3 linked regions of the Nothobranchius furzeri genome follow. The protein of the gene in region 1 interacts with the protein of each later gene in a pairwise test. Links are inferred from orthologs where the notes say so. Each region holds a gene or a part of one and is shown on either strand. Other genes may lie near its edges.

Region 1 (2,849 bases):
TAGCATGAAGCAATCAGAGTTATTGGAAATATCTCTACGAGGGGAAATCCTGCTGTACAGCCTGATTGAAACGGAGCGCAGCGCCGCGGTGAAAGCGGATAACGGGACGGGGAAGCTAATTAGCATAAAAACCAGCATGAAATTATGGAAATGCCTCAAAGAAAATCAACACGAACGATTAGGTGTCCCAGAAGGCTTATATCTGAAGACGGTGACCACGAAGAAGGACAGATCTCCAGTGAACGAGGATATGAACGTTTGTTCAGTCTTTATTTTTTATTTGAACAACCCTCAACTATTTGCTAATTGTAAGATTCAGCATCATTCCAGCATTATTTATCTTTTCACAATAAATAATTATTTTTGCTAAAACAAAAGTTTTTGGTATAGCAGTGCACGGTGTGCAAGAGAAGCACCCCATGGCAGTGTGAGGTGCACTCTGCCTGCAGCTGGAGAGAAACTGCTTCAAGGCCTACCACATCAAACAAAAACGTCTGAAAGTTTACAAAAATAAATGGTCTTAAAAACTGCTAAAAAAAAAAAAAGATACCACGGTTCAATTTTTTTAAAGAATAGATGCATTACAGTTTAAAGTTTAAATTGTTTGCCCAGTAATTTTGAAGTTCCTGTTCAGTAATAAATGTAAAAAAAATTCTAATCCGATTTTTGCTTTTTTCACTTTTAAGCTGATTTTTTAAAGGCTTTAATAGAAATAAATTCTAAATACAAGCCATACACTGAAAGCTGAGGTTGTTCTGAAAAAAGAAGAGTTACACACACTTTGCACTTTTTATTACAATTTTACAGCCACAAGATTTAAAAAAATACCAGGCGGCCCTGTTATAATTATGGTCATAAGAGGGTTATTAAGACGGGGATGCACAAACAGGAAGTGATTGGTAGTCATTCCACTCCAATCCAGTTGGTGGCGGTAATGCACCAAATTGTTGTTTGCCAAGTGCCATAAGACCACAAATAAGAATAAGAAGAGAGGCTGGAGCGTTTGTAACAAACTCAAAGCGATAGTCAAAACATTAAGCATGACATGGAGTTATCCTGGTGGCTCCAATAAGAGAAAGGAGCAGCATGCTTCATAAAAGCTTTTATTTTCACTTCTGAATGTGACGTCGTTTCTCGATGTAAACATCAAAAGGAAGCAGAAAGGAAAGACTATGGAAAATGTTTAAAGTGAGGAAAACATGGACCAAAATGGAAAATAGAAAAGAAAAAATAACGAAGGCTAAAGCACAGGAGCACTGACTGGAAAAAGAAAGCAGAGTAAATACTGAAAGCGCTCAAAGGGAGGGAAATACAGGAAAAAAGAGGAGGACTAATAAAAAGGGAAAATAACTCATGTCAGAAGAGGGGAGAGTTTCGCAAATCCAGTTAAAGGTAAGATTGTCGAAAATTTAGTGTAAGGGGCCCCATGTCTGTGTTCGCCTTGGGCCCCCAAATAGCTAAATCCGCCCTTGAGCCCTAGTATGAGGTTGATGGTGATATTCCGTGTTTGCTCTTCCAGGAGGCTCAGCGACACACCAGGAGCAGGGAGCAGCACAAAGAAGGAAGGTCTTCCCCCTTCTTTGGCCCGTGGTTCTGGTCAGCGGGCTTCTTCTCAGCCCACAGCGGAGGTGGACCCCCAGACTATCCTCAAAGCTCTGTTCAAGTCCACCACTCAGTCCACCACCACCACCGAGGCTCCTAGCTCACAGACCACAGCCTTTCGCATCAAGATCTAGCTAAACCCAGTTTGCTCTGCTGCAGTGTTCACCTTTAAACGATGATTATCCTATCGAACGGCCCGGTCTCTGTCATCAAGCTGGTTTTTACACATTTCTGACTTAAAGCGTTTAAACGAGTAACATTTTCTTCTCTGGTGTCACACGTTCCCCCGGAACGGACCAGTTGAAGTGTTGAGCGATGATTTAAATCGGTCTAGTGGACATTTGATTTGATGTTTTTTTTTTTTTTATTGAATTTTTCTTTTGTGCTACAGTTATCTGCACATTTAGAACAAAGCTAGATTGGGAAGAATTGGAAGTTAATGTTTAAAAGTACATGCATCTACAGTTTTCTATGAACTAGCAGAACAATGATCACACTTTGTCCTTTTCTGACTTAAGTTTCTCGCTGCGCCGCCTCCAGGAGTAACTGATGTTACCAGCAAACAGGAAGAACCTCCAGCACCACGTCTCTGGTTTTCCACTTCTGGTTGTTTTTGGGACAGACTATTAAAATTTGATTGTTTTATACGTTACTCTCAGTTTGCATTTGTAAACTGCTTTTAAGTTGTTTCCTTGTTCTGTCATCAGAGGAGGGGGGTGGGTCAACATTAAATATCTAGCCTTGTAGCTGTCGTGAGACTTGTTTCCACTGTTCGTGCCGCGGTGAAGTAAAATGTTTTAACCTCTGTTTCATTTCTAGGCTTTCAGAAACTCAGGATTTGGTAAGAGGTTAAAAATCAATAAATATGATCTAGAAATGTCTGAAATGTATTCATATGTTGATGCACTTGGTGAAACCTACTGAACAGCAGAACTTCCACAGAGCAAACAGACCTGCAGAAGACAAAACTAGATCTCTGCTTCATTGTGTGTCAGCTCTGGAGGAAAAGAGATGAACCAGTCAGACCTAAAAGCTAGAAGATGTCTGCAAGGATAACATTGTGCGAGAAGACTTATAGAACTACAAATGTTCATCTCTCCAAATTCACCATCCAACCAGACACGGAGAAGTTTAGTGAGCTTCGAGTCTTTCTTCCAGGATGAGAGGAGCATTAAAAGTGGAGAAAACCACTATAAATCTGGCAACTTCATATAGCTGAGATTTTAATTATAACTTTTTAAAAGCTA
Region 2 (4,317 bases), on another chromosome or scaffold:
TTTTGATATTTTAATGGATATTTATAAATTACATTGAATATCACATTTTTGTTGCATGTTTAACTAGCTATTGTGATTAATTAAACTAGCACCTCACTGTTAAAAGCTCGTTCTAATTTCAAGCATGTTTAAGTATTTATGGACATGAACAAAAACAGGAAATATATAAATTGAGATTTATTTAATTAATATAACAAATAAGGGGGAAAGAGTCATTGAAAGGCACATTCTTCTGGAAGTTCCTGATCCTGAGGACACCAGCAGAGACCAGCTGCAGACACCAGAGGACCTAGAACCAAGAGAGCAGCTGTTATCAGTAAATAAATAAAGAAATCAGGGCAGTTTTAGTGGGCTGAACACATTACAGAATAATTTTCTCATGGGGTATTTTCATAACTTTATATGCAGCAGACTGTAACTTGAGCCCAGAGCTACCGGAGAGCTGCTATCCAGCATGTTTCAGTGGATTTTCCTGCTTTAACAGGTTAGATAAGCTGTTAAGCAGCTCAGCTATTTGTTGCTGATTAAAACCAGGTGTGCTGAAGCAGATAAACCTCTAAAACATGCTGAATACTAGCTTTTTAGGGCCGTGGAGACAAACCCTGCAGCTAATCCAATGCTATGGCTAACGGCTACTTACCTTTCAGAGGTGATTCTGTTGGGTCGGTTCTGGGAGTTTCAGGCAACTCACAAGCTCAAAACAATAAGACTCAGGTCCGGTTGTCTCCTCCAAATAGACTTGGTCCCTTTCTTCTCGAGTGTCTGTGTAAGGAGGGGGAGAAACGTCCTCCACTTCTAATAACTGCTCAGAGTGAAGGGAGCTAGCTTCGTCTAGTTAGCCATCGTCTTCGTCACTGCCGCGGCTCCGCCCTCTCGGTCCTCCAGGCAACGCCTACTAATGTTGCATTTTTTAAAATTGATACGTGGGTGGAGAAGGACTCCGAGGCTCAATTGACCCGCTCTTTAAAATACCAAAATTTGCCCATAGCTTATTTTGTTTGTTTGATGTCATCATTTAAAAAATATGAGATCAGATGATACTCAGCAATCAAGTAGCCTTCTAATCAATTACTTTTTTACCCTTGGGTAATTTCTTGGACAGCCACTTTTACTTGAGTAAAATGTGTTGAAGTAGTGCTGCTCTTACTCGAGTACAGTTGTTGGCTACTCTACTCAGCCCCGCCTATGGATCAGGGGCGCACAAACTGTTTCCCTCAGTGGGGCAAAATAAAAATATTTATCTTCCACTCCTATTTATTATTTCCTGGTGTGTTCTTGGTTGTTTCGAGGGTATTACACATACTAATTATAGCACCAGAAACATGTTATATTTACGGAAACCTAAATAAAACCTCGATATCAGAACAGTTGTCTTCAATTTGTGTCCTTCCAATGAGATTTGCAGATTTGGGAAAAAGTCATCAGGCAGTAATCATTGTTAAATTCATAATAATGCAGCGAGAGTCAATCTATTGCATTGGTGACTAACTCTTATCTGCCTACTGGGAGACCCGTAATGCATAGTGTCATTTCAATCTGGGGTTGTCCGTGGCACGGTTTATATGCTGGCAGTGGGTGCTATGGCTGCACTATAAGGCAACTCGTTGCATTCTCACTCAACCCAAAGTCCTCACATCATGCATTTAAATAAAGTGCTAACGTTAACTTGCCTTGCATTGACTGTAGAGTTGTAGGTGATGGTCACGCAGATGTGTCATGAGATTTGATGTATTGTGGCCTTTTGCAGACATTTTTTCCTGCACGTGCTGCAAACAGGATCGTCGTCTTTCAGCTTTAGCTTCAAGAAAGTTTTGGTTGCAAACTAGAAAGCGAGCATGTGCGGCACCTTCAGCCGCACATGATACGGTGGCTGGTATGGGTCACCGTGCCTATACTGCGGCCACGGTAATCCACCGAGATAATATATCTTTTTTAAAAAACAAGATGGTTATTATTATTGACACCATTTTTACCGGGGTTTACCGCTACACCCGTTACCGTGACATCCCTAGCTCTTCTCTAGTGACAAAGCCCTGAAATGGCTCAATCTGGAAAGTACTGAAAATATAAACGAAAGAGGTGGTGAGGTAACTTTATGAAAGGGATTATGCAAGGAAAAACTGCTATGAACATGTTTTGTATCGAACATTGAAAAACTGTAACTGTAAAAAATTCATATGTTCCCTTTTAAAGCTTTCAGCTTCTAAGTGGGATTATTATAGCACTAGAATCAGTTCATCCTTAACTTACCCTCCATGCACTCGTTGACCGACTCATAATCAGCATATGTCCGCCCTTCAGGCCTCTTCGTGGGCTGAACCAGCAGAATAGTGTGAGACTGGAAGAAAAAAACAAAAACAAATCTATTCTATGATTTTTAGAAGACAGGAAAAGATTCTGGGGAGAATTACAACCACCAATAACACGTGACCATCTTTAGTAAAATGCTGTAAAATGACGGAAATGTCAGTAAAATGTTGAATTTTTATCCGTAATTATTAAATAATAACTCAATCACGCGTGTTTAAGGACAAAATATTGAAATAAAATGAAAACTAACTATCATATTTTAGAGCCCGTTTAACAATAAAACTGTTGTTATGTCTGTGTCGGTTCTGCTGATAGCAGCTAAATATGCCTCCATCCACCCTGTAAAGTTAGCGAACGCATTCTAAAGAATATAAAAACAAAAACAAGAATCTAACGAAATATTCTAGATTAATAATTAAATATAAATATAAATTAAATATAAATCTACCATGCTTTCAGACGCTTTCCACTCGTCTTTGGTTGAATTCCTCAGACGTTTGCTCCGTCCGAGAGATTTGACCTTTCTCCCGGAAGCACAACTAGTCAACAATCATTTTTATTTTATCTTATGTTTGGTTACTTTAAAGCTTTTTCACAACTAATGTGTAGTTTAAAATAATATTTAACAATCATAATAATAATCATAGTTCACCAAAACAAAAGCAAAAGATCATTTTGCATCACCTGACTGCGTGAACTGGAAGTAGTAACTCAGCGGCCGGATGTTCTGGTAGAGAACGGCATTAACAAAAAGGGAGAGCCCAGTTTTAAACCTGCTGAGCAACCCAAAATAACAGAAGTAAAACACTGCTCGTTGGAGGTAAGAGTGTGTTTTTAGGAATGATTTTAAATTTTTTGGCTTTCATTAGAGCTCTGTAGGCTATCCCAGGTTAGCCACCTAGCTCCGCAGCTGTCTGCTGTAATGACAGGTTCGGCTAACGTTAACTAGTCATTGTTGTCATTTCCTGGCGATAAAACACACACGCGATTACTGAATAGTATAGCTTGCATGTGGTGTCATTTATTACTCGCATATAGGCCGTAATGAATTATAATATATTAATGAACTATGCTCACCAGATGTTTCATCCGTCCCGTAAATAATGCTCTATTGTTTGGTAAATAAAAATAAAAACTCAAAAGTATGTTAAATCGCTTCTAAATGGAGTGAGTGAGTCCCAGGAGTCATTATTGCACAAAAAACTACAAATCTTTGATTAAACAAGTGGCTGAAGAAGCTCTTTATGTGGATTATTTTAAGCTCGATTGACGGTGTGATATAAACATTGTTTACAGTTAGATCGCAGCTCATTTTAACCTCTAATATTATTATTTTTACTAAGCTTGAATATTTAATTCCATACCCAGTCACACTACTTATGTGTATTCTGGTATTTATAAATACCTGAGTTGTAAATCAATCTATATTTTTGTCAAATTGTTAGATAATATTTGCACATTTTAAGTAATCCATTGATAAAGCCAATTAGACTATTCTTCCAAAACCCTTTCTGAGAAGGAAGTTTAAACTTTGGAGACAATATATTCATATAATTATACTCCAGTCATTTCCTTTTCAGTCCCAAACAAACAGATAGCCATTCAGGACCCTTATCTCCCTTTATGGTACCTGATACACGCACACACACGCACGCACGCACGCACACACACACACGCACGCACGCACACACACACACACACACACACACACACACACACACACACACACACACACACACACACACACACACACCAGTCCCATTACATTTGAGCCAAACACTTGGCCAGAAGGAACTCTGGAAAGTCTTTTTCTACATTGTTTTGCCACCTGAGGATTTTTGTTGCAAGGTTTTTCAAAATGTTTAAGCAACAATTTTGCTTCAGGCTGCTCGTTGCAACAGGGGGAAGGAAACGGCAAGATTGTATAACTGCAATGATGAACGCTACTAAAATGGGTGCAGCCGATCTCACCGAGCAAAGGTTCTAAGCAACTCCACTGCTGCCTCT
Region 3 (4,163 bases), on another chromosome or scaffold:
TAGATCTAGAAAGCTGCAACTGGTGTTAAGCACTGTTTTGTTTCATCCGACATCACGAGTTGCCAGTTCCTGCAGGGGAGGAGTGTGTATTGTGACAGTGTTTTTTTTTCTCAAAACCCAGCTTACTAACAGATTTGTTATAACAGCTTTGATAGAATAACAGAAGGTGAGTAATGCAAGAGAACTAAGTTATTTTCTACAGGGCTGCCAACTTGTGATGGTTTCCATGCACGAGGAGGTGTGTGAAAGGGGTCAGACACGTGTCTCACGCTCAATGGGAAGCTAAGTCACACCCATCTATTTCCGACCATGGGTCCCCAACAGGGCTGGACTGGGACAAAAAATCAGCCAGTTCGTTTTGAGCCGAGACCGGCCCACCAGCTAGTGAAGTTAAAAAGCAATGACGCCTATTTTTTACACCACCTCTCTAACCCTGGGCCTCGATATTCCATATCCATCATGTTTTACTTGTTTCCCTGCTCCAGCACAAAAACTGAGCTTATTTTGCTGCTTAACCCTTTGGTGCATAACGGTCACTACAGTGGACAGTTACTCAAAATTGTTATTTATTTATTTTTGCTATTAAGCACAGCTGTTGAAGACTTTATTGCATATGAGCCCTTCCATTTGGACTTCAGTAAGTCAAGCCACCATATTTCATGTTCAGAATGCACATTGTCCACTGAGATGGACATGTAATAAAGTATTTGTAAATTAACAAAATGGTACAAAAAATATTTGTTGAAATTTGTTTCATTCACACCTAAAGATGAATGAAAAAAATAGTTTAAAAAATCATGGTTGAAGATTTCATAATTCATGCATCAGAGGGTTAATGCAACAAAACATCAACAGACCAAGACAATCTTCAGATATCTAACTGCTCGTTTGAGGTTGAGTAAAGAAAACAGTAAAGCAGAAAATAATCAGAAAACCGAGTTGCCATGCATGCACTGCTCACACACACACACACACACACACACACACACACACACACACACACACACACACACACACACACACACACACACACACACACACACGCACGCACGCACGCACGCACACACACACACACACACACCAACATCAAAACACATGACTTGTTTAACAGTTTAATTTTGTATTTTAAAAGAATGATCCAAACCATTCTAACTAAAAAGTTCAGTTTGAAGACATAAGAGAATCCACAATTTTGCTCTGGATTGTTCGGTTAGGAAAGAGGAGTTTGTAAGGAATATTTATTCACTGTCAATTGTTTAAACACTACAATATTGTTTGTTTAGCAAATTAATATATCGAGTTTTATTTAATCTTTATTAATTGTGACCGGTTATCAATTTGAAAGTTTTATTGACCTTACAACACCAACTCATTTTTGAAAAAGACGAATTTGTTGGCCAGTTTTTCGTTCATTTCCGAACTCCAGTCCAGTTGGTGGCGGTAATGCACACTTGTCGTTGGTAATCACAGTTTCGTCGCGGCCACCGTAGTTCACGTGGGTAATCAAAACATCATGGCGGCTGGTTTCAAGTAAGTCATTTTTAACATGTATTTTTCTTTATATTCAGACTTTGATTTTCATCAAATATATATCATCGATATATTTAATGTTCAGTGTTATATCTAAATTTAGTTTGCTTGTCAAAAAATACAGAAACAACATTTCTGTGACGTCAGTTGGGCTAGTGACGGGATAGTACACTTTATTTGTTAGATTTATCGGTCTGCTGTTTATTGCAGGATCGCACGTGTTTGTTACTAATTTGTCTTATTTAATTTCTTTAAACTTTCAGGACGGCGGAGCCTCTGGAGTATCACAGGAGCTTTTTGGTTCGTCAAATACATACAAACTATACCCAGTAGAAACCCATAAATGTTATTATTATTGTTATTAGTGTCATTGTAATTGCAAATGCTTCATTTGCAGAAAGAAAATTGTAGACCTGATGGGCGGGAGTTGTCTGAATTTAGAAGTACAACCTTAAACATTGGTAAGAAAATAAATTAAATGTTTCCTCCCTGTAATAAAACATAATTTTAGATATGATGTAAATAAAATAATATGTACTTCTAATACAAAATGAGTCGGCTCATATTTTTTCAACTCCAACATTTTCCAGTGCCTAAAGGGCTGATCACTGCCAGCTGTAACAGTTTTTACTTATTTTCTGTTCAGGGTCTATTTCCACTGCAGACGGCTCCGCTCTGGTAAAGCTGGGAAACACCACGATCATCTGTGGCATCAAAGCGGTACTGGTGCACAATGACTCAAACCGCTACTGCTAAGATTTCTTTAGGTGTTAAAGTCATGTGTTCATATGCAGGAGCTGACTAACCCTACTGTGGATGCACCTGGTAAAGGTTACATAGGTAAGTTCTGAACACATTTTACAGCCTCCTTGTTTCCATCAGGTTTTCATTGCTTAATTCTTTATCTCGTATTTTCTGTTTGATTCTGTATTTTATTATGACATCATCATCTGTCTATATATGTTTTAAAAAAGTGCCCAATGTAGACCTGCCACCCCTGTGTTCGTCCCGCTTCCGACCAGGCCCACCAGGGGAACAGGCCCAGGCTGCCAGCCAGTTCATCGCTGATATCATTGAGAGGTGTGTTAAGCCTTCAAACACCTTTAGTTTCCAGCTGTAGTGTTTCTGCCACTGCTTTGACTTAACCTTCATGTGTCGTGCAGCTCTGAGGTGATCAAGAAAGAAGACTTGTGCATTGGCCGAGGAAAGGTGATTTTAGACTCATGTGTGGACTTTATTTGTTGTAATATATTCAATCATAATTCTGCTAAATCTTGTTGCAGCTCTGCTGGGTCCTCTACTGTGACATCATGTGTCTCGACTATGACGGGAACATCCTAGATGCTTGTGTTGTCGCCCTTCTGGCTGCCCTGAAAACCAGTAAGTAGGGTTGAGACTTTACTGAAACGGTGCATGTAATAAATAAAATAAATCTATCTTTTAGTAATCTTTCCCTGCAGCACAACTCCCAGAAGTCACCATCAACAAAGAGACGTCCGCCCCGGAGGTGAATTTTGAAAAGAAACACAAACTTAACATTCACCGACATCCAGTCAGCGTCTCCTTTTGCATCTTTGATGAGTACGTTTGTTTGATTTCAATTCAATTTTTATTTTAGGTACAAGTGCCATTTTGTTCTTCTTTAAGCCTTTTTGGTTTTCCTGTGCAGCTCCATACTGATCGTAGACCCCACCGCCGAGGAGGAGAGCCTGTCGACGGCACGCCTCACTGTGGTGATGGATGAGGAAGATCAGCTGTGCTCCTTACATAAACCAGGTCAGAGATGGCACATCTGTGATCTTTAGATTTGTGGTGCTTCTGCCATGAAATAAAGCTTCAGATTATTTTGAGTATTTTGAGAAAACGGGGATAAAAGGCTCTGCAAACTTTGCCTCCAGGTGGAACGCCACTGTCGGGAGAGAAGCTGCAGGAGTGCATCAAAAGAGCAACGGCACGAAAGGGAGAGATCCACAAACTTATTGAGAAAGTCATAAAAAGCATGAAGACAGCTCAATAAATACACTCAGACAACATTTTTTATCTAAAAGTTGTATTTTCCACTGTCAATATATATTCTTTTTTAATAACAATAAAACTGCTGACAAAGACTTAAAAAAATTATCTTTTCAGTGTCCAGAAATGTCTCACGCACACTTAGCTGATGTCTTAATTCATGTAAGAATATGCTCATGGCTCCTTGTTAAAAGGTAACACCTTTTGAAAATCTGCTGTACAAACGCACGCCGTCTTGCATGATGACTCTGAGTCCTCGCGTGAGCCCTGCGCCGGAATACTCCCCAAGATCAGATTTGCATTTTCACGTCGTGGACACGTGGACGGCTTGGTGTTGCTAATCTGTGCTTAAAGGGCAGCCTCATGCGAAATTCTCTTTAAAATGTCCTCTCACTCCACAGGGCCTCGGCAGAGAAAAGTCTTCCGAAAGTAGAAATATGTAACCGTGGAAGCTCGTTACCTACAAGACCCGTCTTCTTCTTGATCATCTGAAAAAAAATATCACCAAGGCTCTTAGAGCTTCGGGCTTCCTGCTGTAGAAACCAGTTCCCCCACAGTGGACAAAGGTTTGGTTTTCAGAAAACATCTGAGAACCAAATCATAAAAATTTTTCTGTTAGA

The links.
Region 2: the proteins of poldip3 (region 1) and enhancer of rudimentary homolog interact in a two-hybrid assay, tested with the Homo sapiens proteins (2 studies listed by BioGRID, with this or other methods). The link is inferred for Nothobranchius furzeri from reciprocal best matches to the Homo sapiens genes POLDIP3 and ERH.
Region 3: the proteins of poldip3 (region 1) and exosc8 interact in a two-hybrid assay, tested with the Homo sapiens proteins (2 studies listed by BioGRID). The link is inferred for Nothobranchius furzeri from reciprocal best matches to the Homo sapiens genes POLDIP3 and EXOSC8.

What each region holds. Positions count from the first base shown.
Region 1 is NC_091752.1:66,984,475-66,987,323, reverse strand, and holds the end of poldip3 (polymerase delta-interacting protein 3), read left to right. Parts: intron 1-1,519; coding exon 1,520-1,736; 3' UTR 1,737-2,348; downstream 2,349-2,849. UniProt on the Homo sapiens protein: Is involved in regulation of translation. Is preferentially associated with CBC-bound spliced mRNA-protein complexes during the pioneer round of mRNA translation. Contributes to enhanced translational efficiency of spliced over nonspliced mRNAs.
Region 2 is NC_091758.1:16,818,436-16,822,752, reverse strand, and holds the start of enhancer of rudimentary homolog, read right to left. Parts: upstream 2,891-4,317; 5' UTR 2,762-2,890; coding exon 2,759-2,761; intron 2,339-2,758; coding exon 2,251-2,338; intron 774-2,250; exon of another isoform or gene 641-773; intron 290-640; exon of another isoform or gene 167-289; intron 1-166. UniProt on the Homo sapiens protein: May have a role in the cell cycle.
Region 3 is NC_091750.1:62,637,107-62,641,269, forward strand, and holds exosc8 (exosome complex component RRP43), read left to right. Parts: upstream 1-1,448; 5' UTR 1,449-1,513; coding exon 1,514-1,530; intron 1,531-1,793; coding exon 1,794-1,830; intron 1,831-1,927; coding exon 1,928-1,991; intron 1,992-2,176; coding exon 2,177-2,250; intron 2,251-2,324; coding exon 2,325-2,370; intron 2,371-2,504; coding exon 2,505-2,610; intron 2,611-2,693; coding exon 2,694-2,739; intron 2,740-2,813; coding exon 2,814-2,910; intron 2,911-2,990; coding exon 2,991-3,111; intron 3,112-3,199; coding exon 3,200-3,306; intron 3,307-3,428; coding exon 3,429-3,547; 3' UTR 3,548-3,648; downstream 3,649-4,163. UniProt on the Homo sapiens protein: Non-catalytic component of the RNA exosome complex which has 3'->5' exoribonuclease activity and participates in a multitude of cellular RNA processing and degradation events.